4 linked regions of the Notamacropus eugenii genome follow. The protein of the gene in region 4 interacts with the protein of the main gene of each other region in a pairwise test. Links are inferred from orthologs where the notes say so. Each region holds a gene or a part of one and is shown on either strand. Other genes may lie near its edges.

Region 1 (7,905 bases), on a different chromosome or scaffold from region 4:
GGCAGAGTCCTCAAGTTGTCAGGTCACGTTTGCTCTTGTTGAGCAGTGAATCGGGAAGGCATCACGAAGGGGAAGGAGGTAACTGCCATCTGGTACAATTTTTTTAAAATCACTGCCAATAAATGATTTTCTTCTTTTTTTCTGCATTAAAAAAAGTATCTGAAGCATTTCTATAACGGTGGATTCAGTCCACAACACTGTTTTCACTTACTCTTGCAAAAGAAAAGGGATGGGGTTGTAACCCTTATACATGCTGCCCCTCCACCCTTTTTTTTTTTTACGAAATTCTTCTTCAAGACAGTTATAGAAGTTTAAGTTGCCTCTGATTCTTACTACTTCTGTGACCTTGGACATTTAACATCACTGGTCTCAGTTTCCTCATATGCAAAGAGGGAGAGTTGGGCTACATTTCTCAGTGCCTTCCAGCTTTAGAACTAGGATTGTACGATCATATGGTTTACTCACATAAAGATATAGGATCACAAAGAGTTGGACATGACTGAAATGACTGAACAACACAAATATGTGGGGAGATAAATAGGAATATGCACTGGGATTTGCTTCTTTCCTCCTGAGACAGTCCTGAGCTCCCATACCATGCTGGCAATACATTCACTATGGTACAGACCCTGGCTCATGAATGCCACACACCCCTACATACACACACACACACACACACACTCACTCACTCACTCACACACACACACACACACACACACACACACACACACACACTCACACACACAAACCCCGTTTGTGGTTCTGGGCTATGACCAAAGGATCACAGCTTATGCTGTGCTGGGCTCCTTTCCTCATCACCTCTCTTCCATTCTTTTATCTCACTCAGTCTCTTCTAGGAGGTTTCCTCTGCAGTGTGGAGCCTCCTTGGCAAGGGTCCCACTAGACACAAGTCTCGGAAGGGGCAACCTGAAACTGCTGGGAGGGGTGGGGCCCATAGCAAGTGAGCCTTTCATGCAAGCACAAAGTGAATTGAGCCTAAGTGATGGAGTTTCCATTTCTTTTTAATTATATCCAAGCACACCCATTTTAACATTGCCCCATCCCACTAAATGCAGGTAAAATGTTTTGCAACCCTTAAATTGTTTGAAAAAAGACAGGTATTATTAATAAGTTCAATATAGCATAGTCACACCCTATTGTATCATCCTGCTAAACCTTTCTCATACCCTTGATAAGGACCAAGGCTAGCTCCCAGACCTGACTTAACACAGCCAGTCCTCTGAATGGCTGAGAACAGTAAAAAACCTAGCCAATCAAAATATAGTTGCTGGGCTCCAACTACCGCCTTCTTTTTCCTCCCCTCCTCCCCCCAGTAAAATTTCTATCCTGGTGGAATCCCTGCTCCTCTCATCCTATTGTAATAGCAATAAGATTTTCACAGCTCTTTAAACTTCGAAAATCTCTTGCTATATATACCTTAACTCATTAGTAACTCTGGGAGATAAGTAGTGTTATCCCTTGACCATTGGGGAGAACTGAGGCTCAGAACAGTTGGCCAGATTGGCCAGAATCTAATCCAACTTTCTCCTGACTTCAGGTCCAGCACTCTAACCCAGAAAATCATCTGATTAGATTCAATTAAAACAAGCATTTATTAAGTTCCTACTATATGCCAGGCATCATATAAAACCAAAACTGCTCACTACCTGCCCTCTTACATTTTATCATCTAGGGGTTAAGCCATATTGATAGGTGAATGCAAAATCCATATCAATTAAATACAATGTAATTTCTTTAGAGTAGGATCACCTGGAGGAAATGGGAAAGATCTTGTAGGAGGTGCTGCTTTACCAAAAGGAGTTAGGAGGTCTGAGAGATGGAGGTGACTGGACGGGGAAGCCTTGGGGAAGCATTGAGGCAAATGAAATGTTATGTATCAGAATCAGCAAGGAGATCAGTTTGAAATTCAGTGTGTGAGCAGGGGGAGTAATGAGTAAACATTCTGGAAAGACAGAAAGGTGGTGAAGGGTTTCAAAGGCCAAATGGAGGAGCTTTCATTTTATCATCATGACAAATTAGAGAACCACTGAAGCTTCTTGACTAGGGGATTGGTGCAAGGGAAGTCACCAAGGTCCACCTGTCACTTCATACAAATGGCCTTTTTAGGATAGGTTATCTAATTGGTGATGTTGAACACATTACCTCTTGAGACTGCCTACTGAAATAGTGAACCTTAGTTGTTAAGAGTTCTTGCTTAGGGAGAAGTGAAATCTGCCATCTTATAACTTCCCCTCATTGGCAAAAATCCATTCTTTGGACCTATAGAAAAATAATCCATCTTCCCTTTCCTATGGCAGTCCTTCAGACATTTAGGCACATCCATCTTTTTTCACTTGAATTTCAGAATTTTTTTGGTTCTACAATTGAGTTTATTAGAACTCCTATTATAAGGACACACTTTACTGATTCCGATTGTCAGCTCTCATTTAAATTGTGACATTAGAAATTTGCATCGGGATTGAGAGGTTCCTCAACTTGTCAATCACCATAGAACTAATCAGAGGCAGGATCTGAATTTGGGTCTTCTCTACTCTAGGTGTCCCTAAGTGGTGCAGTGCATAGAGGGCCAAGTCTTAAGTTTGGCAGACTCTTCTCTGCCTGAGTTCAAATCTGGCCTCACACACTTATTAGCTGTGTGACTCTGGGTAAGTGACTTAACCTTATCCGCTTCAACTTCCTCATCTGTAAAATGAGCTGGAAAAGAAAATGGCAAACCACTGTGGTATCTTTGTCAAGAAAACCCCAAGTGGAGTCATGAAAAATTGGACACAGTCTGAAAAACTTTCTGACTCCAAGACAGGCTTTGTGTGCACATGCCAAGTTGCCTCTCCTCACATTTTCTTAACTGTACTCTCACAATAAAAACCTCAGAGTCACTAGATTAGAACAATCCATGATACTCTGTAATTTTGAACAATTTTTCTAATAAAAAAAAAGGTTTTTCTCTTTGGTGCCGTGAAAACTCTGCTCCAGGTACCCTTCAGCTCTGGAAGTTCATTAGGGTTGGAATGCAGAGGGAGATTCCTTTGAAGAGATAAAAATGCCCCCCTCCCCCCAAAAAATGGGGGGAAGAGAGAAATCTATTGTGCCTTCACTGAATCTCTTCCCCAGCAACTGTTACCTGTTTTATCATTCATACCAGGCGGGGGAGGAAAACTCTCTCGCTATTTTGAGCCTGCAGAGGAATAATGAGGCACTGTACTGAACCCGGAGGATTAACCATTGCTCTTCTGTAGAATGCCGTCCCAGAAGTATAGATAGGATGCCAGAAGTGGGAGGCTATCTTCTAGTATCACAGATCTCCGTCAGGAAAGAGACCTGAGAGATCAACTAGTTCAACTCATTTTGCAGAAGAGAAAACCGAGAACCGAGCAGGCTGAGTGAGTTGTTCAGGGTCCCACAGGCACTAAATTTCAGAGTTAGAACCATAGACAGGACATAGAGTCTGCCTGACTGCTCTAAATCTGGTGAACTGAATTGTCTGGAGGGGGAAAAATGTGAAAGGTTAAATACTTCAAGACAGCCATTAGGAGCTTATCAGAGAGGCTAATGCAGTTGGGACAGCAGTACTGACTGTCGGTACCAGCTCTGCATTAGCGTGCTACTCTCGGAGGTTTGAAAAGCCAACCACAGTGAAGTTCTCTTTGCTTAGAAATTCAAGCCACTCTCCCCTAGGCCCTTTTCCCCCTCCCCCATTTACTCTCAGCACTTAAAGTGCCTGACACACAGTAGGCCTTTAAAAATGTTTAATGACTAACTCACTAGCTTTGAAACCATACGGACTACAGGGCAATTAAAACAAACCAACCAGGCAAATCCAAATGGGGTCAAGTTTAAAGCAAAACTGGATTCAGAGCTGGGGGAAAATGTGACTTCGTTCCAGGAGGGAACTTTCCCGGGGGGTCTATTTATGCAGAGAGGTTGGGACACCAAGGGGTTAAAGGACATAGGAAAATTGCTAAGACTTTGGGGGAGAAAAAAAGCCTATGACTGCTGGCAGGGGATGGGATTCCTTCCATCAGGATTTCCTTCCCTCCCCTTTTCGGGTTCTGGACCACTTCGGCAGTCTGATGATGCCTCCGGTCCCCTTGTCAGAACGTTCTTAAATTCATAAAATAAACCGCATAGGGTTACAAAGGAAACTAGTTATAATGATGCAAGGGTTCCAAGTTCACGGACATTTATCCACGGTTACCTCTCTGGACCCCTAGTTAACGACGCTCATTTTAACCAGTTCTACACCTCATTTTTCTAAATCCTGGGTTAATGGATGTAGAATACTTCAGCTCAGACTCCCTGGAGAAACTGCAACGTCTCAGGGAACGCAAGAGCTGAAGTAGTTTTAGTGGGGTTGGCTGGGTGGGCAAGAGACAAAAGAGCCTGAGGCCTCCGGGGTCCCCGAGGAAGGCACCAGGTGGACTAAGGGCAAGAGTTCCATGGCCTGGGCGGGGAGTAGAGAGCGAGAACTCAGAAGATGGGAAAGAGAAGATGGCACAGTGGCTGTGTCCAAGCAAGAAGGGGAAAGGATGGGGAGCCGGAGAAAAGAAATGGAGGCCGGGGATAGCTCAAGGAGCTGCAGGTTGGCGGAGAGGCGAGGAGCCTAGTGGAGTTGCAGGGGGGCTGGGTGGGGCAGCGAATCTCCAGAGTCCTTTCCTGGCTGAGCTCTGCTTCCCTCTCTCTTTCCTCCCCTGGCAGTCTATCCTTCTGCTCCTGCTCTTTCCCCCCGCCCTCCAGAGTTGCGCAACGTCTTTCTTTGGCTGCCGCAAGGCGCTGGCCACCGCCCCCCGCAGCCAGGCGAGGGAGGGCTCCGAGGCTGCGTCAGTCCCAGCTCGGGTATAAAAGGGGGCGGCCGGGCAGCCGCGAGCCGCACACAGCCATCCGTCCTCCTGCCCTCCTCTCTCCTCCTCCCCATCTCTCTCCTCCTCCCCGCCGGGCAGGCAGCGGGCAGGCGGCCGGCCGGGCTGCGGCCCCCGATCCCCCACACCGGCAGCATGAGCTCCTTCGGCTACGAGCCGTACTACGCCACGGCGTACAAGCGGCGCTATGCCAGCACCGCCGAAAGCCCGCGAGTGCACATCTCGTCGGTGCGCAGCGGCTACAGCAGCGCGGCGCGCTCGGCCTACTCCAGCTACTCCGCCCCCGGCTCCTCCGCCGCGCTCTCCGTTCGCCGCAGTTACTCGTCCAGCTCCTCGCTGCTGCCCAGCCTGGAGAGCCTGGACCTGAGCCAGGTGGCCGCCATCAGCAACGACCTCAAGTCCATCCGCACGCAGGAGAAGGTGCAGCTGCAGGACCTCAACGACCGCTTCGCCAGCTTCATCGAGCGCGTCCACGAATTAGAGCAGCAGAACAAGGTCCTCGAGGCCGAGCTGCTGGTGCTGCGGCAGAAGCACGCCGAGCCGTCGCGCTTCCGTGCCCTTTATGAGCAGGAGATCCGAGACCTGCGGCTCGCCGTCGAGGACGCGAGCGCCGAGAAGCAGGCGCTGCAGGGCGAGCGGGATGGCCTGGAGGAGACCCTGCGTGCGCTCCAGGCGCGCTATGAGGAGGAGGTGCTGAGCCGCGAGGACGCCGAGGGTCGCCTGCTGGAGGCGCGCAAGGGCGCGGATGAGGCGGCCCTGGCCCGCGCCGAGCTCGAGAAGCGCATTGACAGCCTGCTGGACGAGATCGCCTTCCTTAAGAAAGTGCACGAGGAAGAGATCGCCGAGCTGCAGGCGCAGATCCAGTACGCGCAGATCTCCGTGGAGATGGACGTGTCCGCCAAGCCCGACCTGTCCGCGGCGCTCAAGGACATCCGCTCGCAGTACGAGAAGCTGGCGGCCAAGAACATGCAGAATGCCGAGGAGTGGTTCAAAAGCCGCTTCACCGTGCTCACCGAGAGCGCCGCCAAGAACACGGACGCCGTGCGCGCAGCCAAGGACGAAGTGTCCGAGAGCCGCCGCCTGCTCAAGGCCAAGACGCTGGAGATCGAAGCGTGCCGCGGCATGAACGAGGCCCTGGAGAAGCAGCTGCAGGAGCTGGAGGACAAGCAGAATGCCGACATCAGCGCCCTTCAGGTAAGGCACGTCCGGTCCAGGACAGCGGGGAGCAGCCAGGGGACTGCGGGGGGCGGGGTGGTGGAGGAGCTCAGCTGGGCAGGTCTGCGGGGGAGGGGCGGGCCTCTGGAGGGGCAACCTGCTTATTGCTCAGGCGAGGAAAATGAGGCGCGGAGTGACTTAAGTAGCCATTTCATCCTGCCGTCTCATTTGACATAAGAGGAAACTGAGGCGCGGGAGGGGCGGGGCGATTTACCTAAGGAAACTACATAGCCTTGAGATTGTGGTTCAAATTTCTTATGTTCCCAACGCTTTCCAGAACATCACTTTAGAGCCAGCATCATTATGGAGAGGGGTGGGGGCCATGAGGAAGGCAACTTACGCACTGCAGGTGTTAGAGCTTTGGGGTAGGGTATAGAGTCCCCTTAGGGACAGGTGGATGGAGGCAGAGGTCGCTGTGTGCAACTGGGTGTTTTTTCTTTGGCACATCCTACCCTGACTCTGTGTTAGAGGCGAGAGGCGGAGAAATGGAGGGGAGGTGCCTCCTACACGCTGTTGGACTATTTCTGTTCGCCCAGTTAGTAAATGTGTCGAGCATTCCTCTTCTCCCCGATAGGTGGCAGTAGTTATGAATTTATCTCCCTAATCCCTCTCTGCCTATTCCCCCCTCTCCCCGTGGTCAAGTTAAGTGATGGTAACAGTAAAACACGTGCCTTTCTATAGAAGGAAGGCCACATATCAGAAGACTGTAGTGATGTAGGACACCAAAGGAAGACAAGAGGATGCTCCAAATGCCTGTATGAAGTCTGTACAGAACATTAAAACAGAGACAGATTTGGAGATCTAAAGTTCTCATTGTAGAAATTTAAGACGGGTAGGATTATTGTTGTCAATAATAACTGGTATTTATGTAACAGAGGAAGCCTGTCTTAGAGGCCAGGAAGATCTGGGTTCGAGTTCTGCTTCTGACTCTCATGGGCAGTTAGGTTCTGATCAAGTCACTTAACCTCTTGATGCCCGAGCTAACTCTCTAAGACTCTGTTGTCAGACATGTTGCTCTGCAGAGACAGAAACAGTTGTGAGTTCCCTATACAGAAGGAATCTCTGGTCCTATCCCTACGCTGATTTAATAAATATTTTAGAGTCAGCAAAATGCCTTGGAGAAGAAACAGGCCTGGAGGGGAGGGGGATGGCTTGCTCCTACATGTCCTGTCAGTTGCTGAAGAAGAGATAAGCTCGCTCTTTACAAAGAGCCGCAACCCTCCATTGTCCTTATATCTCCGGAGCTCTTATCTTGGTCCCCATTAAGTCTAATCCAAGCCTTGCTGAATAATAGGCTTTCTCTTTCTGTGGCTGTGCTGGCTTCCATCCAGGATGCAGGGAAAAGCAAGTTGAAGAAAGAGCAGGGCCGATGTGTGACTGACCCTCAGATCTCTAGTGGAGAGTGGGCTTGTAACAAACAAGCAGGCTTTTTCAGTCAGTACCAGGAGGGATGGGACAGTTCCAAGGAGGCAGCTTCTCCAGCAGAGCCTTGGAGCTCTGGAGGTGAGCCTTCACTGTACGGTTTGGGAGCTGGCATAGGAGAATTCAGGAAAATTCTGGGGTACAGAGGAAACAAAGCCATTTCTGAGTGAATAGAGCCGAGACTGGAGGTTGGCAGACCATGATATGGACTCTGCCTCTGAAAATGTGCCAGTATGTTCACCTCCCCTTTTCAGGGCAACATGCTTGGAGAGGAAATAGAGGTTTGTATTCCAGGTTGCTTTTTCACTCCTGACAGGACACAATTAACAAATTGGAAAATGAACTGAGAACCACCAAGAGCGAGATGGCGAGATACTTGAAAGAATACCAA
Region 2 (7,549 bases), on a different chromosome or scaffold from region 4:
TCAAAGTCATCCTCCCTCACACAGAACTTTGTTTATAATTCTCTAATAATGATGACAATAATGACAATAGTTGGCATTGACAGAGCACCTTAATATTTGGGAAGTGCTTTACATGTATTATTTGCCATGATACTCACAAGAACCCTGTGAAGAAGGTGCCATTATTATCTCCATTTTACAGATGAGGAAGAAAGGAGGGAAAAGAGAGAGAGAACAGGGACTATTTAAAAAAATGATTTATGTCCCCAACACTTGGCTTAGTGCTGGGAACAGAAGTCTTGAAAAATACTTATTGACTTGAGGCTTTAAAAGGGTAAGTGGTTTGCCCAGGGCAACATACGTAGAAAATGCCTACTAGAGGATTCGAACTTATCTTTCTGACTCTAAGTCCAATACTTTATACATTTTATTACCATTTTGTACTATGGTTATTTTTATATGGTATTAATAGGTATTGTATTGGTCTCTAACCTGTGAATAGCCAGAGCTGCACAAAGCAGGCCAGAGACAGGAGTGCCAGGAAACAAGTAGAAGTTTAATTAATTACTTTAAGAGTGAGAAATGCTCTCTGTGCTGGAATAAAGGCATAATTTATATACATAAATCACAAGTGGCGAAGGAGAGGAAGATGGATTACAAAACAATCATTTCCAGGTCCTAAGTGGTTTCCCATTACAAGCCTAAGAGGGCAGGACAATACAGGCATTCGGAGTCCTGTAGGAATAGTATTGCTCCAAGTCGTGGGGTCATTACTCAGTGGGACATGGGACCAGAGTTCTGGGATGGGAACAGGTTCTACAATCTTTGATTTGCTTCATTTAAGGTACACAGGCACAGGCATATGGTGCTTGTGAGAGCCTTGTTGAGGGTTTGATTGATCATTTTAAGCTACATTGTGACTTTCTGACTCCCAAGCCAGAGGAGGCAGCTCTGAGAAATCTAAATTATTAGTATATTCATTATACATATCATATCAATTAATATGAAAATAATCATTCCAATGGTAAGGTTTTTAAGATTGTAAGGTTTATTCAAGGAAGTTCCCTCATCAGCTTGATAAACCTATAGAGTGGTGAAACTTTGTAAGGGTTTTTGAGTATATATTCCCGTGGAGGCTATGGACATATCTTTTCCCACACCTTAGAAGACTGGTCACGTTGATTGTGGCTACACCCAAAATAAATTGATTGACTTGTACCATTGGGAGGTTGTATTCTCGTAGAAGGAATCATTCCATTATGCTCAGCTAAAAAATGGGAATCCTAATGAAGAACTCATTTTTATATGAGTTTAAGAACTCAGCCTTTTCTACTTCTCTTTCAAATAGATCTGAAAGCACAGCAGAAATGGGCATGGAGAGTATGAAGAGTGGGTAGGTTCCTAGGAGCCATTAATGATGTCATTGTAGCAAAAGCATATGGCCCAAGATATGAATTGCTGAACCTGAAATTCCTGGCAGCCTTTCTTTTCTCTTGTCTGATTATTGAACAGAGACTTTTCTAGCAAAAAATAAAAATGGCAAGAGTGAATATAATGGAGTGGAATACTGAAAGTTTCTGGAGTTGCAGTGGCAAAGGAAAACATGATCATACCATTGTCATAGCTAAGAAGAGGATCTTCTAGACAGTGACAGCTTTGGGGGTAGCTTTGTGAGTTGTCTCAAGTTCAAAAGTTCATGCATCCAGTCTTCTATCCAAAGAAAAGAAAGCATGGACATTATGTTTCTTGAAAAGAGAAGAGAATGATAAATACGGGTCTTAATGTTGAGAGGAATAACTGTAAGGGACTAAAGCCATGATATAAAGGGAATAATGGATCTGGATTTTCTCCTTTGCTATTAGAATTATTTGGCTGATGTAGACCTAATGGTAAGCAGGGGGTGAGGGGGTGGTCAGGTGGGGAATTGGGGAGAGGTTGCTAATTGTCTGCTAATCCTAGTACGTTTTCTCTCTGGGGGAGTTTAAGACCTCAGAGTAGCACTATGAAGTTTAATCGATGTATCGCTTCAGAGTGAAGGGGGGCTCACCAGAATGTGGGAGCATTGTCTGCTTGAACACTCTTCTAGGAAGCCCAAACCACAAGATGGCACTATGAGTGTGGGAGAAAGGACAGCATTTATCCTAGCGTGAAGCAAGATTTGCCAGAATGGAGGAACACTATCTGTTAGAAAGTGTGTTTCCCTTATAGCAATTCCATGGGGTGCCCTGAGTCTGGAGAATTTTAGGTCCCTGGAAAGTAGGATTTACCAGAGAAGGAGGAGAATGGTATTGATTATGGAATATTGGCAATCTTTTGTGTGTTTTCTGAAACTATTCTGTGTTTCTATGAGACCTTTGTATTTTCTGAACTTGTAAAATAAAGCTTGTCACATAAAAAAGAACGTATATTACTTTGCACTATTGTATGAGATCTGGGAACCCTGTTATTCATAACTGTGGAAAACTAGCACATGAACTATATTTGGAGATTTTCCCAGCATAAACTCTGAGAACAGCATGAGCCTGAGTAACTCAATTTGGGGGAAAGGGTAAGCCCTAAAATCAGCCCCAGTTCTCATAAGCCCAGAGTCAAGGAGTTCTGAACCATGGGTCATAACTATGTATCATATCTCCTGTGTAGTAGATAGTGTTGGGTCTGGAGTCAGGAAGACAGTTCAAATCTGGCCTCAGACACTAGCTGTGTGACCATGAACAAGTCACTCTGTTTCCCTCAATTTCCTTGTCAGCATAATGACCCGAATGGCAAACCACTCCAGTATGTCTTCCCCAAGAAAACCCCAAATGGGGTCACAAAGAGTTGGACATGACCAAAAATAACAAACAACAATAAAAACTAGACTATCTGCCCTACAATAGCAGGGACTGAGTATCTTTTAAATTTTGAATCTTCCCCAGTGCCAAATGTGATCTTCTACATAGAGTAGGCTTTGAATAAATGTTAGTTGAACTGAACTGAAATCAGTACTTGCTGTCTTCAACATGGTTCAGTTATGTAAATATTTGGCCTTTCCATTCAATGACTCAATTTAAAGGGTGATGATACACATTTCATTAAGCTGCCCTGACTTAGCAATCTCTTAAAGAAGCTTCCATTTATAATATCAATTTATTATGCTATGATACCTGTCTACCAAGTAGCACTTGTTATATAGTCTCCCTCAAGTCCAATGGATAAATGGATAGAGGAAAGCAATTGCCTAGAGGAAATTAAAATTTAGGTCATATATCACTTCTGCTTAGCCATCCAGACACATAATTTACATTGCTGCAAGGACTCTAGAGATTGATTTCCCATTACCAATCAGTTGCAGAATGGACTTAAACTGTATTAGAAACATACTTTGGAGATCCTGTAAACACAAACTATAAACTGTATCAACAGCATGGTCAATACATAATAATTAACCCATGCAAGAAACTAAACCCATTTGTAAGTTATATGCAAAACTTGTTATAAATCTCATCACAAACTTCTCCCAGAGACCCATTAGCACAGTAGAAAAGGGTAGCAGTTTTAATCAATTTGTCTACTGTGTCTCTAGAATTTATTCCTGTAGAATACTGCTACCACATTAGATGTATATAGAAACGAAAAAATATCCAAATGTTGCTCATGGACAATAAAACTCAATTTTCTCTAGTCTTTCCTTTTTTTTATTTCCAGGCATCAACAAATCTCTCACAAAGGTGCCAAAATGTTTCTTCATGCACATCTGCCTGTCACTTCTCTGCTAAAATATTAACAGAGTAAAAAAAAAAAAAACCTTACATACACAAACACAGAAACCAAAACAGGGCTTTCCTGAAGCCTGTAGGATAAAATGCAGACTCCTGAGTCTGGCATTTAAGGTCCTCTACAAGGTAGCTCCAACTTACCTTTCCAGCCTTATTTGATTTCAATCTCTCTCATATACTATCTGGTTTTTCCAAAAATGAACTACTGGCTGCTCCCACATTCCATATTCATTGACGCTGGCCATACCCCACACTGAAATGTTCTACATCACTGCTTCCTGCTAAAATCCTTTTTCTTACTTCAAAACAGTCCAGTGATACCTCTGCCATAAAACCTTTCTTCATGTCCTCCCTCACAAACTGAATGTGCTTTTCCCAAGTACTTTTGTCTATATATTTCCTTTTCTCCTATTCCACTTTGCCTTTACAGTATACTTATTTCCTAATACATTGTAGGTTCCTTGTGGGCAGAGAGTATATATTTCCATCTTAGTATCTCTGGTTCCTAGAACAACGTCTTGCATATACTGGGGTGAATATTTATTAATTAATTATTTGTAGGATTCAAGAACAATTGAATTTTCCAAACCTTCCTGCTACAAATATACTAATGGCTTTTTCTGGTATTAAAAAATTTGTCTAATAATTAATAGAAGTTAGTATTCCTTACACTAATACTTCCAGAAAAAAGCCCAATGAAATCAATGTTTAACAGAATTTTGATGCAGGAATGACTACTAGGGAGGAGTTAATAGGGGAGTAGCCATAGAAACCAACCTATCATGGAAAAGTCCAAAGGGGTTATGTGTAATGAAACAGAACCAGAAGGATGTCTTGAACTAAAAGACTGCTTTACAAAGCAACAAGAAAGAAACACACCTTAACACCAGGGCAAGCTGAAAGTCCAAGATTCTCCTCATTTCCCCCATACATATTTTTAATGTCCTTAAAGTGAAATGGGGTCAAAACACTCTAAGACTCACCCTAGGGTGACCAGAGTGGCCCCTATGCAAGATAAAGACTCAATGTGTTCCCCAGCCAGCCCTGTGGACTTGGTATTCAATGACAATTCAGAGGATCAAAGTTTATATTCATTTGCAAGACTACAAGAGAAGAAGAAAACATTGGACAGGCAGCTGCCACCACTTCGGGAGACTTTGTATGGGAGATATTCTTCAGGTAAAAATAAAAATGGCATGGAAATCATGCTTTCAGGTGAAGAAAGGCTATTGATAGATTTATGTGGTTGTTTTTACATAGAACTGGAATTTTCTGAATACAGCTAAAAAAAGATGATAATATATTGAAAGATAAAAGTTTTGCAATTAAGAATATGTCCAGGGGAGCAGAGGAGTTTTTTGGAAGGATGTGTGAGAAAGATTTTTGCAGTTCTGGATGCAGGGTGAGGAGAAATCATTTTGATACATTTCAGTTTACTGTTTCTTACTTTTTTACACACAAATCACATTATACCGTTAAGTACTGTGTGTATGTATGTGAATCAATAATAATGATCATCAGTCATATATAGTTTAAGTCAGAAATAATTTTTATAATATCTTATATCACCAGGGAAATAGAGTTGAAACACTTTGAGTAACTGCGAACTAGTAATGATTCTAGAGGGAAACAGAATAAGTGGATAGGACATTCCTTTCTTTCCTTCATATTCTTTTTTTCTCCTTATACATCTTCAAGTTAAGAAGAGATATTCCCCTACTTTGATTACAGGAATGGACCCTGAAGTGACTATAAATTATCTCTGGATAATCCAAGTAAAAATTTTTCCCCAGTGTTTTATGACAGAGCACTTAACTATGAATTACATTTTGAGAAAACGTTATTATTGGATATTTCCAAACTATCTGAAAAGCAAGTATTTCCATTAATGGCCTTTCAGTTTTTGTTTCCCATTCCAGGTTTATAAAAGAAATAAATGTATCTAGTTACTTAGTGAGGAAGCATTATTCCATATAACTAACAACTGTTTCAGGAACTCATGTGCATGATACTACCATGTTCCTACAATTGGCTGGTTTAATTTCTCTTCTGTATATATGTGTGCATTTGATGCATTTCTCAGTTTCCTAATGACAGAATGGAATTTTCTCTTTAGATTTTCACTGACAAAGGTGCCTTTTATGCCCCAATTTTTTTCTCGAGAATAGAAGTTTTTGCTTGTGCCAAGAAAATTATTGCAATTGAATGAAGAAAGGGAACCCACTTTGTAAGGCAAGGCTCTAAACTGCTCTTTCATGCTTAGATGTGAATGACAAGAATAAAAAATTTTAAAAAGCAGCATATAGGAATGAAAACATCATTAACTAATGTTCAGGAGAGCTGAGTTCTAGGCATAGCTGCACCACTCTCTAGTTCTGTGACCTTTGGCAAATCACTAAATATTTTCATTTATATCAGGTTGCTCATCTTTAAAATAGGTATATTAACATATCTCTAATATTTCACATAGGTACTGGAAACACATAATGAGAGAGAAAATGCCTTCAAGCCCAATTCAAAAACAAGGAATTAATAATAATATTTGACATCTAGCTGGCATATGGGAATCTTTCACCAAAAATACTTTAAGTATTGAGTTCCGAGTTCCACTGAGTTCCACCTAAAGTACCTCATGCTATGTGAAATAATGAATAGAGTGCTGGACTTGGAGTTATAAAGACCCAAGTTCAAATCATTCCTCAGAGATTTACTGGATATGTGGCTCTGGGAAAGTTCTTCAATCTCTCTCTGCTTCTGTTTCTTCATCCATAATTAGGGATAAGAATAATCCCTCCTTCATATGGTTGTTGTGAGGACTGAAGGAGATAACACTCAATATGTAACACATGTGAAGTGTTTGAAACCCTTAATACTCTATATAAATGTTAGCTATGTGATTATCACCATAATTATTATTTTGTACTGCTTAATGCAAAAGTATCACTTTCAATAAGCTAAACCTGAAAAACCTGCTTCACTTAAAATTACAGAGAAAAATAAGTCATTGCTGTATGCATTTTCTCATTATAAGGAAAAGCACTGGTAAATTACTGGTTTGTGACCTTTGGGCAAGTCAGTTTCTGAGTTCCCAGACAACTAGAAGCAAAATAATTATAGATTTGCAATTGGAGAAGGATTTTCCACACCTGGAGTTCCTTCTACCAATAAAATCATAGGTTCCATACCAAAAATTAAAAAAAATATCCCAAACCTTGGAATTTTCCATTGATGGTAAGACTGAGGGGAATTGTGGGTAAGATATTTAAAAATCAGAGAGAGCCTAAATTGTTATAAAAAGTCAAGAAATGAACTTTTGTTTAAGTTTTGTCATGTTATAATCCTTTAGGCAACCTTTAAAAATGAGACCAAGAAATGCCTTGCAGATCTGAGTTTTGTCACAGAGCTTCTTATTTTTTCAGTCCCCTTATTATAGTTACATCTAAATGGCAACCTACAGAGAAGGGAATCAACCCCTTTCATTGGTGTTAGAGTTTACTTAAGAAGAAAGAGCATCTTCCTTTCTAAGTCTTCAATAAATATCTATGTTGCTCATCCACTGTCTTTATATGAAATTTATTCAATGGATGTATGATAAGATTATATATAATAAATCATGGCTGGGAATTCATACCTCAAAGGAAATGCTTTGTTCCCGTATCTTACTAATTTTGTAAAGCAACATCTTTGTACTTCCAGTGCCTACTACAGTGACTTATACAAAGCAAGCACTTAATAAAGATTTATGGTCTCCAAAGTGAGGGCTATGGCTGGACCTCAAGGGAACCATGGCCTAATGCCAAGGAGGTGTGGGATCA
Region 3 (6,926 bases), on a different chromosome or scaffold from region 4:
AACTAGGTGTGCCCAGATCCGGGACAATCTCGAGGGCGGGGAGATCTCTCTCCCATCACGTTTCTCACGGGAAGAGGCGGAATTACTCGAGATAGCTCGGTTCACCTCGATTCCCAGCTGTTTCCTGGGGGGGTCTCGTGAGAGCTCTAAGATTTAGAAGCTCCCACCTTTACCCGCCCGAGACTGTCCACACGGAATTGAGCTTCCAATCCCAACAAAGAATGTCTTGGGGATTGGTAGATAAGGACAACCAGGATCTGATTTGGGCAATAAGTTTAGATAACATGAACCTCAAAAGAGAAGATATTGAGTAATGGTGGTAGAGGAAAAGTCTAGAAGTGGGGGGAGTATTTTGTCTTCTCCATTGGGATCACCAAATTGAGGTTGGGGTTTGAGAGAAAATGCAACCAATACTAGAAGGAATGGCTGAGCAGGAAGATCTTGGTGAAGGAAAAAAAATGGAAGGGCTAGAGGGCAGAAGTTTAAGGTGAAAGGAATTTTGTTAATTACAGTACAGGAATAACAAAGGACACTGGGAACAGTGAAATGATATCTGCTTTTTTCAAAAGAATAATCATTAATTATTTTTCTCCTTTTGTTCATGGAACAGTGGATGTGTTGTCAATTCTTATCATTTCTATCTTCACAGCATTTTGTGTCCCCTTCTCTCCATTCACAGAGCAACCAGGCTAGTCCAGATCTATGTTAACTCTCACATAGACTAAATTACATAAATTTATAAATTACTCCCATTTTAAGAGAGGTTTTGGTAACAAAATAAAACAGAAAATTAAAACTAACAATACACTGACCTCATCTAAAAGTGCAGGCAGCATTTCACATCTGTAGTACCCCCTTCCTATTAAAAGAAATCAACACAATCTATTTCCTTTCTCCTACCCCCAGTCCATTAAACATAAAATAAAAAACACATTTCTTGTAACAAATAGGGATAGACAAGCAAATCTTCCCAATGATAGTACAAAAAATTATATATGTTCAGTTCTGCATTCCAAATCCATTACCTCTCTATAATAGATAGCATGTATTTTTCTTGGGCCTCTTTTGAAGGAGGCCAGGGAAGCCAATAGGCAGAGATGAAAAGGGGCAACATGGCAAGCAAAAGGGACTGCAAGGGAAAAGACTCAGATACTGGAAATGGAGGGTCATGTTCAAGGAACAGGAAAAATGCCCTTTTGGTTTTGCATCTCTAATCAATGAGTGTAAGAAAAAGCATTTATTAAGGGCTTACTATATATACTGGGCACTGAAGTGAGTACTAGGGGATGAAAATACAAAAGCTGGACAGTTGTTACCTTCAATGAACTTATATTCTGAAAGGGTGGAGAAGGGGAAAATTAGGTGGTATGGTGAATAAAGTGCCAGTCTTGGATTCAGCAAGACCTGAGTTGAAATTTAGCTTCAGAAACTTACTAGCTGTGTAATCCTAGGTAAGTCACATAATCCTTTCCATCTCAGTTTCCTCATCTGTCAAATGAGCTAGAGAAGGAAATGGCAAACTACTCCAATATCTTTGCCAAGAAAACCCCAAATGGGTTGGGCACGACTGAACAAATCATATATATATGGGAATAGTGGACAGGGAAGGCGTTTTGGTCTGGCAAGTCACTGTGATGAGTGGAGTCATAGGATAGTCAATTTCAATCAGTGACAGTATTGATCTATTATTCCCAGAGCAAGTGGTAAAGAAGGGGGAAAAATCATGTTGAGGAAAGGGTTCATACCTGGTGGCAGGTCTGAAAGTAGAATAGGATTAGAGAGAATGATTGGGTCTGCTGACAGCTAGACAGAGTTAGAACTCACTCATCTGCACAGCCCAGACATAGGCTTTATGCAATTTGAAGAATGTTGTTGTGTTGAAAGCTCCTTACTTTAACTTAACTCTTGCGACATTTGTTCATCTACTTAATGCTAATAATTCACACAGGCAAGTGAATCTGAATTTGCCTACTGGCTTCTTTGGTCTCTTTCAAAAGAGGCCCAAGAAAAATACATGGTATTCATTATAGAGAGGTAATGGATTTGGAATACAGAACTGAATAGTCCTATTAAATTATGCCAGAAAATGAGAAATTGAGGGTAATTGAGGTGAAGACACCCAACATCATATAACAAATCATTTATTAAAAGCATTTATTAAAAATAAAAAGGACTTATGAAGCACCTACTTGGTTGGTAGGTTGTTTTCCTTAAACACCTAATATAAAACAGGAACTGGGGTTATAAAGACAAAATCAGAACACACTCCCTGCTTTCAAAGATCTTACCTTTTATTGGCCCCTAGGTGGCAATGTGGGCAGTGTGCTGATGACTGGAGTTTGTCTCCTGCTCCAGCCCCTTAGGAGTTGGGGAGACCTGGCTAGTCACTAAGTCTCTCTCAGCCTCAGTTTCCTCATCTTTAATTTGGGGTTAATAAGGGTGTCTACCTCATAGGACTGTTCTAAGGATCAACTGAGTTAGCATACGTAAAGTACTTTGCAAACCTTAAAGCGCTATATATTGTTTGTCCTCTAAGAGGACCATAACATTAAAATGGTGACATGACTTGGAGTTGACTTTGATTTGAGTGAGGGAGGGCTGTGCAAGGTTACCAACCTCACTTTCTTTTCCTCGAAGCGCTATATAAACACCATTTAGCTTTTGGGAGAGGCAACACATTGGGTTTATCAGCATTTAGATGAGGAAATCAAGATCACAGATTTAAAGCTGCTGGAGATCTTAGATTTTAAGTTAACTGATGTGCAGAGAAATTAAACAATTAACCCGGGGTCAAACAGCTCTGTGAATGAGGCAGGCTTTCAATACAAGTCTGTTTTCCTGCTGCCAAGTCCAGATCAACTGACATCAATTCTGGATTTTCCCTCCTATTCCAGTATACTCAAAGAACATAGTAGCAGTTCCATGACACAGAGGAGAGAGAACTGGACTTGGCATCAAGAAGACTTGTTTTTATCCTGACTCAGACATTTACTAGCATTTACTGAACAAGGAAGTTTCTCTGACTGCAGTTTCTTCATCTAAAATGCGGGGGTTGGATTCCGTGGCCTCTTCGGCTGTAAAACCAGGCTCTGAATTGGAACCGAAAGGAGCCCTAGAGTTCATGCAGTCCAGTCTCTACCTTAGGTAACTAAAGTGCAGAACCAGGATTTTTAACCCAGATGCCCTGGCTCCAAGTCTAGGCATCTTTCCAAGTCATTCCTCCGTATCATGCAGAGTATTTGACTTCAAGATTTACCAGTGGAAAAAAGATCTGAAACTGAAACCTCAACACCTGTCTAATCGAGTGAACAAGCTTCCTGTGTGTTTTCCTTTTTGCATAAGTAAACTAGACCAAGTAGACACTTGGCAATCTGAGCACAATGGAACGAGAATACGGGGGTGGGGCGTTGGGGGGGATATAAAAAAATCTGCCATCTCTCTTCTTCCAATTCTTATCTGTTTCTCCAGAGCCCTGTTTTTCTTGCCTAGAAAGCTCGGTTCATCCATTCTGTACATTCTTCCCCGACCTCTCTCCACCCTGCCCCCACCGGCATGTTCTGGTCTTTCTTGTACTTTGGGGGTCCTTCGTGGCCCCCTCCTAGCCTCCAAGCCTGATCTTTCTCAGAGGAGCAGTGTTTGGGGGGATCTCCCATCCGAGCTTCTCCCTCTGGGGTTCTCCGTCTCCCACCGACCCCGGGCCAGTGTTGTGCCTCTCTAGTGGTTTGCCAGCACAGTCCAGCGCAATCCAGCGCAGCCCAGCCCCGCGGAGCCCAGCCCCGGCTCAGCCTCTGCGCCGCGTAGCAGGGCTCGCAGCCCGGTAGTTCCGCTTCTGCGCAGCGCGGCGGGCCCAGGGGCTGGGAAGAGGACGGGGAGGGGAGGCGGAGGATGTGCGCGGAGCCAATGGGCAAGCTCGGGGGAGTCGAAGCTGCCCGGGCGGCCCGCTGGGCTCGCACACACGGACGGGATGGACGGCGAGAGCTGGCTACCGCAGTCCTTCTCTCCGGGGCCCCCGGGCGGAGCGGGCGGCGGCGGCGGCGGCGGCAGCAGGGCGGGCAGCGATGGCGGGGAGAGCCCCCGCGGCGGCCGTGGGGCCGCAGCCCTGATGCAGCCCGAGGTGCTGGACCTGGATGAGGACGAGGATGACCTGGAGGTCTTCAGCAAGGTGAGGGCGGCGGCAGACGCGGTGGCGCGTCTCGGGGAAACTTCCCAACTCCTCTCCTAGAGCTGCCACCGAGCTTGTCAGCGGGGCCTGGTCCTACCAGGAGATTTGGGGGGGGGGGGTGTGTGTGAAGGGGAGGGACGCGAAAGAAAGGGGTGGGGGGTGTCGCCAGCTTCTTTTTTCTCCTCCTTTTCCTCCTCCTCCTGTCTTCCTTGTCTTCCTCCTCTTTTCCTTCTCCGATTGTCTTACCCAGCTGTAGCTTTCTGGAAGCCAGACATAGACTCTTTGCAAACCTCCGAGCCTTTGTCCGGAGAGAAGTTTTCAGCCTGGAATCAAACAGCTGGGCTTTCAATTCTCAGCCTCTCCTTTCTCCGCACTTTGACCCTCTGTGCATATGAGCATGTCTAGCTTTCAAAGACTGCAAAGTTCTGCTGTCCTACTGGGGTGAAGAAAGGAAAGCTCAGTCCCAGCATCCTCGACTCTTTCCCCTTCCCCACTGCCTTACCCGATCAGACCGTGCCAGGTTAGATGCGTGGTTAGATGCAAACAGACCCTGTCCTCGCCCCGCTGTCTTCCTTTTCCTTGTGCCCTGAGAATTCAGGGGAGGAGAGAGCCTGGGGCTTAGAGGGCACCCGCTTGGATTTCAGGTTTAGATTTTTTGATTTAGAGACTGAGAATGGAAGCCCAAGCTTTACACATAGAAGTACAGCAGGAGAAAGAACCCCTGTCCCGTGGCTGTCGCCCTGCCCTAACCACTACCCACCCACCTAGAGGGAATGGAAGGGGTTTCAAATAGAAATGAGATCCAAAGAAACAACTTTTGGAGAGGGAGATCCAACTGGAAACTAGTTTCCACATGTTAATTAAAGAGCAAAGACTCATCTCATGAGCCCTCAGGCATAATGTCCTGCAGGATTTTTGAGAGACCCTAGATTCTTGCAGGCTTGTCTATTTTTCACTGATAGTTATTCTTTTCTTTTAAGAAAATGATTTTGGGAGACGGTGAATGAAACTCCATCTTCTCCCAAGTTTCTGTCAGTGGAGGCTGTGGGTTGAGAGTAAGACAATGTATTAATTACTACTGCTTTTGCAGCAGTTAAATGTTACATTGAGGTCCTGGGTAAGTGAACTTAATTATAACCAGTCCCTTTATACGCCGAATTGTGAAGGGACTGGACAAGCTGGTCCTTGGCTTGATTTTGTCGCCTGAATTGCTTCAAAGAAGACTGAGATTGTAAACTTTTTTTTACGGCAAGAATTGTCTCACTCCACATCTTTAGCTCCTAAGACCTGGATTGTCTTGTTCGTAATAGTTTATGGATGATAAATGAATCCAATACTATACTTTCCTGTCCCACGCCCTTAAGAGAGTTAGGTTCTTTAAATAGAATTCTCCCACTTTATGTTTCCTAATGGAAAACAATAACAATAAACTGATAAAACAATAATAATAAACTGATTTCTATGGGGGGAAAACAAAACAAAAAACAAAAGTCCTTTAGGTCCCAAAGTGAAAAGTAATATAGCAAGACTCTCAGATCTCTGATCTCATGGGACAATTTAGTTGAATAAGTTGTTGAGTAAATTAATTAGCTCCTAAATACACTTACATGCCACGTTCACATTACACAGCAATGGGTTGGCCTCTTTCCCTTCACATTGCCAGTCAGTGTCTAGGGTCAAACACTATATAATATTTGTACTTGGTTGAAATGGAGCATTTGTCTCAACATCTAGTAATTTGGGGTAATGTCTGACAGTAATGCAATGACAGTTTGCAGACTTTTAGGTTATCCCTTCATTTATATTTTAGTGGATTGCAAATACTGAGCAGGCAATAGTGTGACCAATATGTAGATCTAAAGAAACACACGAAATAGTTATTGCTTTCAAAGGTCTTAAAATCTGTGTTGGAGAATAGTTTACTTAATCATGTATATGTGAACTATAAGTGCCACTGTTTGATTTCCAAATGAAAGTAAATCACTGATAGCAGGGCTTCATGGCTATGTGACCATCTGGGGAGTTGAAAGATGAGTGGGAGAGAAAATATTAGCAGGGAATCCTCTGACTTTCCTTAGTTGAAGGACAGTATTTTAGAAAACTTTTAAATAGTTGGTTTAGTTGATTGATGTCGTTACCAAATAAACCATCCCATAGAATAACTCCCATAATGTCTCTTCACTTGAGAACCTTCAATGAAATCCTAGAGGTTTTCCAATAATGCCTATACCTTAGCCTGGCATTCAAAGCTTTCCAACTCTGACATCATCCCATTCTGTTAAACTTCATATGTGTTAATGTCCTATCCATATTTCAAAGTTCAGCTCAAATATTGACTCTTTCCTGACATTTTCTCTGATGTCTTCTGGTAGCCAGAAAAGACCTAACCCTCAATTCTCAAAACACTTCTTAATAGTTATTTCTCTACATGTACCTTGCAGTCAGCTCTTAACTCTTTGAGGTCAGTAAATGTTTTATGATTTATTCATTTATTTATTTGTTCATTTATTGATTTAATTATCATTTTAACTTTAATTAATCAATTAAATTAATATTAATTACTTTTTTTGGATATCTCCACTACTTAGCCAAGTGTCTTATACACATTGATCTTGAATACATAATTCATTCACTTTTAATTGGGTGTCATCTCTCTTACCAAATTGTAAACTCCTCACAGCCTAGGACCTTGTTTAGTTTTATCTTTATAATTCTCCTAGCATAGTACTTTGAATTGAGGAAATGCTTAATAAGTTGTTGATTA
Region 4 (6,972 bases):
ACTCTACACCCACCCAGCTCTCTGGCCATATTGTTTATGTAGCTGTATCGATTCTTGGTGAGCAGTGGAGTGGGGACCAGGGCAGAGCAGGATGGGGTATCTAGGGCCCCAGAGATGGGTTGATTTGGGCCTGGCATGCAGTCTGCTTTGATCTGATTTCTTCTCCCTCTCTCACCCTGCAGCTGTGGTGATAACCGGCCTGTGCTTGGTGCTGGGCTACTGGTCAGAGCAGCTGAGGGCCGGGAAGCCCACCTGGATTACTGTGAGTGCCCTGTTCCTGTTGCTAGGCATTGTGGCCACTGTCATCATCTGGAGGCAGCCCCAGAACCCGACTCATCTCCACTTCAAGGTAAGAGACTTCTGAGGGGAAGAAGCACCGAGGAGAAGCCATGGTGTGCCAATGCTAGCACCGCTTTACCATCTTGTGTTTATCATTTTAGTGAATCTTGTTTTTCTCCCTGGCACCCTCCATAGTCATGAGAGTTCCTCTTATTGTGCCCTTCCTTCAGGTGCCTGCACTGCCTGTCCTCCCACTGCTGAGCATTTTTGTGAATGTTTATCTCATGATGCAGATGAAGGCTGGCACCTGGGCCCGATTTGGGATCTGGATGATGGTTGGTAAGTATCTGTCCTTGGACGGAGGGACCTGACCTCCAACTTTTTTTTCATGTTCCTCTTAGGCCTCTTGGGTTCTGTTCTCCCACCTCACAGCCACTTTTCTTCCTCCCCTCAGGGTTTGCCATCTACTTCACCTATGGGATCCGGAACAGCCTAGAGGGTCAGAGTGAGCCAATGCCCCAGCCTGCAAAGACTGCCAAAACTTCTGAAGTCAGCCACCCTGTTGGCCCTTCTGTCTGACTCGGACAGCCTAGCGATGCTGTTGGTACAACACTGGAGATCGCCTCTGTCTTTGTGTTCTTGCTCAACTTGTCTTCTCGACACGTAGGGGATTTGGACTCTGTTGGGCCAGGTGGGTCATGAGGCCTGGAAGGGTAAGGGGGAGGTTCTTAAACAGAACTGTATTTATTATGATTGAAGGACTGACCTTTTGCTGTTTCTCGTCTGACCTTTTTTACTGAAGTCTACTTTGTGAGCTTTTTGAATTAAACAGAGGAAAATAAAATCAGGAACTGTGTATCCTCTTCTCTGGGTTCTTCCACTCCCTTTTTTCTTACCTCTCAGGCTGCCTGGTTCCTGGAACTGTGTTCTCCCCAACCAGGGAGGGAATCAGCTGTGCTTAGATGTGGGCAACTTGGTGTGGGGGTTCTAGATGGCTTAAGGCTGAGGCAAATAGATGGAGGAAGAAATGCCTTCCAGACAAGCACAGAGGGCTGGGGCCTTGGGGCCTTTTCTTTGAAGGGGAGGCAGGAGATGACAGCTCTTTTGTGACTTGGGTCTCTGGCCTACCCTCCTCACTCTGGGCTGCTCCAAGGCTGTTCTGACTGCTGGCTCAAGGGTGACATCGGAGCACAGCTGAAGATTCTCCTGCTCTTGAGCCATATGGGAGGAGAGGAGGCTCTCAGCCTGGAGCTGAGAGGTTGGGAAGAAGGTTTTAGCCAGATCTAATGCCATGAATTGACTTGTATTTCTTTTAGTTGCTTCCATTTTTTCAGCTCAAGTTGTGCCCCCAACTACTTCATCATCAATAGCTTCACGTGTAATGCTGAGGTCTTCCCACATCCCTCCTTCCCCATCACCAGGCCAGTTTATGCTAGGGAATAGCCAGACCACCCATGGCCTGGGTATCATATGGGTAGCAGCTGATGACACAGTGGGTAGAGTGCTGGGCCTGGAATCAGGAAAATCAGGAATCAGGAGTTCAAATTCATACTCACCTTTGGTTACCAGTGTGACCCCGGGCCAGTTAGTTAACATCTGTTTACGAGTTCCCTCACCTGTAAAGTGGACATAATAATAGCCACTACTTCACAGGGTTGCTGGAAGCATCCAGTGAAATAACATCTGTAAAGCCCTTAGCACAGTACCTGACATACAGCATCTAACACACTTTTGTCTACACTTTTCCCTTCTCTTGGTCCTTTCCAATGATACCAACTCAGTGCCTACAAATTCTGCAGTTTGGGAGCTCTGTTTGCAATCACTCGACCAAAGGAATCACCCAGCTCCTTGGAGGCCTTGGAGTCAGTACCTGAAAATACTTGAACATGGAAATTAAGATCCCAGATTTAGGACACAAACTTTGGAGGGCTTCAGTGGTTCTAGTTAAGTGAAAACCATGTGAAGCTTGAGATTTGCAAGGTGAGGACCACCTGATAATGTGATGAAAAGGGAATGAGGTGCTGTGTGGCCTGCTCCCCTCCGCCCCCCAGCCTGGCTCCTTTCAGTATTTAGAATGAAGAGAGAATCAAAGGGATTGGCAAAGTTTACATTCTCCACTGCCCTTTTCCAGTCACCCTGTAATCGAGTTAGAAGGATATCCTTCAGGGCACAAGAAAGAGTCTTGGCTCTTTTCTGCTCTTCTCTTCCATCAATTCCCCCCCCCCCCCCCCCCCATTGCCCTTTCCTCTCCCCTAGGTGTGTGGTATGCTTACCCCTGTGAAATTCTACCATGTGACATGATCTTTGTCCTGTGAAGAGTCAAGAATCTGAGCCTTGGGCAGCTAGGGGCCCTTTCACAACAACTGAGTGAGGAAGGAGTAGAGAAAGTTGCTCTGAGTCGAGAGGGACTGTTAAGCCTGGCAAAGTCTAACCTTCCCAGCTCTAACTCTCTATTTCTTAGGAGCTCGGTCTATGATCATGGCCAAAGCTCTAAATCTTTCTGGGCCTTTATTTTATCTATCAAATGAGTATAACACCTACCTCTCAGGACTGTGGTTGGCCAGGTGCTGGATCCAATGAGATTGATTTAAAGAGCTGCAGAAAGCTCCATCAAGCACTATATACGTGACAGTGCTTTTAACCCTCTCACTTGGCTCCCATACACAAAAGTCTCTTTAACACCAATCTCCCACTAAGGCTATATACAGCTTCAAATGAGTCTCGGTAAACCCGAAATCTCAGAAGAATCCCAATCCCAAATTCTGGTTGCAGATGCCTGAAAGGTGCAATGGAAAAATGTATGATGGTTATAAAGTCAGTGTAGTGTATGTGTGCTGGGAAATCTATGACTAGAAGAGGAGGAGAAGGGGATTGGGACCTTCCTGCCCAGTGGGATCCATGGAACATTAAGGGAAGCAGCAGGGTGGCCTCCAGACCTTCAGACAGATCCTTCAGTAATAGCTCTCCAGAGCAGAATGGTCTTTTGTGCCTTGACTAGAATAGGCTTAAGGCTCCATAGATACTCATGATTTGAATTGAGAGAGGAGGAAGGAATGCACAAGTGGAAAAAGTCTGAAGGGAGGGAGTGAAATTCTGGGAGCCTCCAGAGGAGTAACTGGGGGTCGTGCCTGGGCTTGTTGACATCATGGGGTGGCCTCTCTTTGTCTCCAGAGCTTCTCCAAGCCCTTCTGGTTGGGGATCCGGAGCCTAACTCAATTCAGCTCTCTAGCCTCTGCCCCAATCCTCTGAGGCCCTGGGGGCTGCCCAGGGGCCGTCCAGGAGGCAGGGCTATGGGGGCGGGGGAGGGGGCTCATAGGAGCTTGGTCAGGGGGTGAGTATCAGGAAGGTGGCTGTATGCAGACGGAGGGCTTGCGGGCCAGGGCTGTGTGGGGCAGTGGCTCCTGGGCAGCCGCTCTGGGCCACGTGCCCCTCCCAGCACCCCCACTCCATTCTCCTAGCCCTTCCACTTGACCTCCAGGCTGCTTAGCCAGACCGGAGCCCTCAGAGAGGGAGAAAGACGAGACCTGATTGGAGGATTCTCCACCAATTGCCTGTTGGGGAAAAGAGGCGGGGGTAGAGGCATCTTGACCAATGAGGAAGCAGCATGCTCTCCTTAACGCCCAATCACTGCGCGTTCTTCTGCATCCGCCAACAAAAGGTTACCTGGCACCAATAGAACGAGCTAAAGTAACTTTGGCAGTGACTGAGGAGACGGCAGCCCAGGGCGCTGGGCGGGACCCTCCTTCAGCTCGCTCGCTTTCCTGGGCCGCTGACTTGGAGGGCCTTGTCCCTTCGAGGCCTCCGCTTGCTGGGGCGCGTACGTCCTCTTCTGTCACTAGGTTCGTGGGTCCCAAGGGGCGGCGAGGTCCAAGGGGAGGAGGGGGCCCGGGAGGCCGGGTGGGGGGGCTGAGGGCCTGAGAGGAGGAGGGGCCCCAAGACCCAGCAGGGGATCCACGAGGCCAGGTGTGGGGGGCTAAGTGCCTGAGAGGAGGAGGGGGCTCCGGGAGGTCAGGTGGGGGGGCTGAGGGCCTGAGAGGAGGAGGGGGGCCCCGGGAGGCCGGGTGGGGGGGCTGAGGGCCCGAGAGGAGGAGGGGGCCCTGGGAGGCCAGGTGGGGGGGCTGAGGGCCCGAGAGGAGGAGGGGCCCCAAGACCCAGCAGGGGATCCACGAGGCCAGGTGTGGGGGGCTAAGTGCCTGAGAGGAGGAGGGGGCTCCGGGAGGTCAGGTGGGGGGGCTGAGGGCCTGAGAGGAGGAGGGGGCCCCGGGAGGCCGGGTGGGGGGGCTGAGGGCCCGAGAGGAGGAGGGGGCCCTGGGAGGCCGGGTGGGGGGGCTGAGGGCCCGAGAGGAGGAGGGGGCCCTGGGAGGCTGGGTGGGGGGGCTAAGTGCCCGAGAGGAGGAGGAGCTTTGAGATGCGGCAGGGGATCCACGAGGCCAGGTTGGGGGGCCGAGGGCCTGAGAGGAGGAGGGGGCCCTGGGAGGCCGGGTGGGGGGGCTGAGGGCCCGAGAGGAGGAGGGGTCCCGAGACGTGACAGGGGATCCACGAGGCCAGGTGTCCGGATCTAAGTGCCTGAGAGGAGGAGGGGGCTCCGGGAGGTCAGGTGGGGGGGCTGAGGGCCCGAGAGGAGGAGGGGGCCCCGGGAGGCCAGGTGGGGGGGCTGAGGGCCCGAGAGGAGGAGGGGTCCCGAGACGTGACAGGGGATCCACGAGGCCAGGTGTCCGGATCTAAGTGCCTGAGAGGAGGAGGGGGCTCCGGGAGGTCAGGTGGGGGGGCTGAGGGCCCGAGAGGAGGAGGGGGCCCCGGGAGGCCAGGTGGGGGGGCTGAGGGCCCGAGAGGAGGAGGGGTCCCGAGACGTGACAGGGGATCCACGAGGCCAGGTGTGGGGGGCTAAGTGCCTGAGAGGAGGAGGGGGCTCCGGGAGGCCAGGTGGGGGAGCTGAAGGCCCGAGAGGAGGAGGGGGCCCTGGGAGGCCGGGTGGGGGGGCTGAGGGCCCGAGAGGAGGAGGGGTCCCGAGACGTGACAGGGGATCCACGAGGCCAGGTGTCCGGACCTAAGTGCCTGAGAGGAGGAGGGGGCTCCGGGAGGTCAGGTGGGGGGGCTGAGGGCCCGAGAGGAGGAGGGGGCCCCGGGAGGCCAGGTGGGGGGGCTGAGGGCCCGAGAGGAGGAGGGGTCCCGAGACGTGACAGGGGATCCACGAGGCCAGGTGTGGGGGGCTAAGTGCCTGAGAGGAGGAGGGGGCTCCGGGAGGCCAGGTGGGGGAGCTGAGGGCCCGAGAGGAGGAGGGGGCCCTGGGAGGCCGGGTGGGGGGGCTGAGGGTCCGAGAGGAGGAGGAGCTTTGAGATGTGGCAGGGGATCCACGAGGCCAGGTGTGGGGGGCTAAGTGCCTGAGAGGAGGAGGGGGCTCCGGGAGGTCAGGTGGGGGGGCTGAGGGCCCGAGAGGAGGAGGGGGCCCCGGGAGGCCGGGTGGGGGGGCTGAGGGCCCGAGAGGAGGAGGGGGCCCTGGGAGGCCGGGTGGGGGGGCTGAGGGTCCGAGAGGAGGAGGAGCTTTGAGATGTGGCAGGGGATCCACGAGGCCAGGTGTGGGGGGGCTAAGTGCCTGAGAGGAGGAGGGGGCTCCGGGAGGTCAGGTGGGGGAGCTGAAGGCCCGAGAGGAGGAGGGGGCCCTGGGAAGCCGGGTGGGGGGGCTGAGGGCCCGAGAGGAGGAGGGGTCCCGAGACGTGACAGGGGATCCACGAGGCCAGGTGTCCGGATCTAAGTGCCTGAGAGGAGGAGGGAGCCCCGGGAAGCCGGGGGGAGGGGGGGGGGGGCCGAGGGCCCGAGAGGAGGAGGAGCTTTGAGATGTGGCAGGGGATCCACGAGGCCAGGTGTGGGGGGCTAAGTGCCTGAGAGGAGGAGGGGGCCCCGGGAGGCTGGGTGGGGGGGGGGCCGAGGGCCCGAGAGGAGGAGGGGGCCCTGGGAGGCCGGGTGGGGAGGCCGAGGGCCCGAGAGGATGAGGGGTCCCGAGACGTGACAGGGGATCCACGAGGCCAGGTGTCCAGATCTAAGTGCCTGAGAGGAGGAGGGGGCCCTGGGAGGCCGGGTGGGGGGGGCCGAGGGCCCGAGAGGAGGAGGGGACCCTGGAGTGACCCAAGGCCAAGTCAGGCAGGGAGGGCCAGGCAGGGCGCCCCTCTAAGGGAAGCCCAGCCAAAGTGTGCCTTTAATTTTCTAGGTGCTGGTGATCCAGAAGTGTGTCCACATGGAGGGGGAGCTTCATTTTGAGGAGTTGAAAGGTACAGCGTGAAGTCCAGGGAATCTCCGCTGAGGGGGCCTTGGTGTCCTTGTGATCTGTAAAGGCAGCCACCTTCAACAAATGACATCAACAGGCAGGACTAAGGAGAGGGTGGGACCAGGCCTGGTGGGTTTGACAAGAGGCCTGAGGGGCCTGGTGGACTCCCTAGGGACCCACTGGCCACTTGTCAGGCTCTTGACCAGGGGAGTTTACTGATTCACCCATGGTATAAAGCGAGCTTGCTAAGTATGAGTCATCATTAGACTCCTGAGAGGCAACTGTAACGAGCCTGTCTTGGAATCAGGCAGACCCAACCTTAAGTCTTCCCTCTAATATATTGACTGGCTCCCAGGCAACTTCCATGTAAGACTAAGGTTCAGGTGAGTTGCTCTGGTCAGCATCAGTGGAGGGAATTTCCACACTAAGAG

Evidence for each region.
Region 1: the proteins of TEX11 (region 4) and NEFL interact in a two-hybrid assay, tested with the Homo sapiens proteins (2 studies listed by BioGRID and IntAct). The two-hybrid records come from large-scale screens. The link is inferred for Notamacropus eugenii from reciprocal best matches to the Homo sapiens genes TEX11 and NEFL.
Region 2: the proteins of TEX11 (region 4) and CCDC198 interact in binary tests that used the Homo sapiens proteins (3 or more experiments, as listed by UniProt). The two-hybrid records come from large-scale screens. The link is inferred for Notamacropus eugenii from reciprocal best matches to the Homo sapiens genes TEX11 and CCDC198.
Region 3: the proteins of TEX11 (region 4) and SNX7 interact in binary tests that used the Homo sapiens proteins (3 or more experiments, as listed by UniProt). The two-hybrid records come from large-scale screens. The link is inferred for Notamacropus eugenii from reciprocal best matches to the Homo sapiens genes TEX11 and SNX7.

Annotation. Positions count from the first base shown.
Region 1 is NC_092872.1:742,703,664-742,711,568, reverse strand, and holds the start of NEFL (neurofilament light polypeptide), read left to right. Parts: upstream 1-4,893; 5' UTR 4,894-5,012; coding exon 5,013-6,071; intron 6,072-7,830; coding exon 7,831-7,905. UniProt on the Homo sapiens protein: Neurofilaments usually contain three intermediate filament proteins: NEFL, NEFM, and NEFH which are involved in the maintenance of neuronal caliber.
Region 2 is NC_092872.1:300,385,639-300,393,187, reverse strand, and holds the start of CCDC198 (factor associated with metabolism and energy), read left to right. Parts: upstream 1-4,540; 5' UTR 4,541-4,690; coding exon 4,691-4,913; intron 4,914-7,549. UniProt on the Homo sapiens protein: May be involved in tuning the metabolism, energy expenditure, and excretion processes.
Region 3 is NC_092873.1:274,704,867-274,711,792, forward strand, and holds the start of SNX7 (sorting nexin-7), read left to right. Parts: upstream 1-3,907; 5' UTR 3,908-3,964; coding exon 3,965-4,162; intron 4,163-6,926. UniProt on the Homo sapiens protein: Involved in the regulation of endocytosis and in several stages of intracellular trafficking. Together with SNX4, involved in autophagosome assembly by regulating trafficking and recycling of phospholipid scramblase ATG9A.
Region 4 is NC_092879.1:100,228,581-100,235,552, forward strand, and holds the start of TEX11 (testis-expressed protein 11), read left to right. Parts: upstream 1-3,958; 5' UTR 3,959-4,118; intron 4,119-6,484; 5' UTR 6,485-6,511; coding exon 6,512-6,545; intron 6,546-6,972. Other genes in the region: SLC7A3 (cationic amino acid transporter 3), read left to right, coding at 1-57, 183-349, 510-618, 734-858. UniProt on the Homo sapiens protein: Regulator of crossing-over during meiosis. Involved in initiation and/or maintenance of chromosome synapsis and formation of crossovers.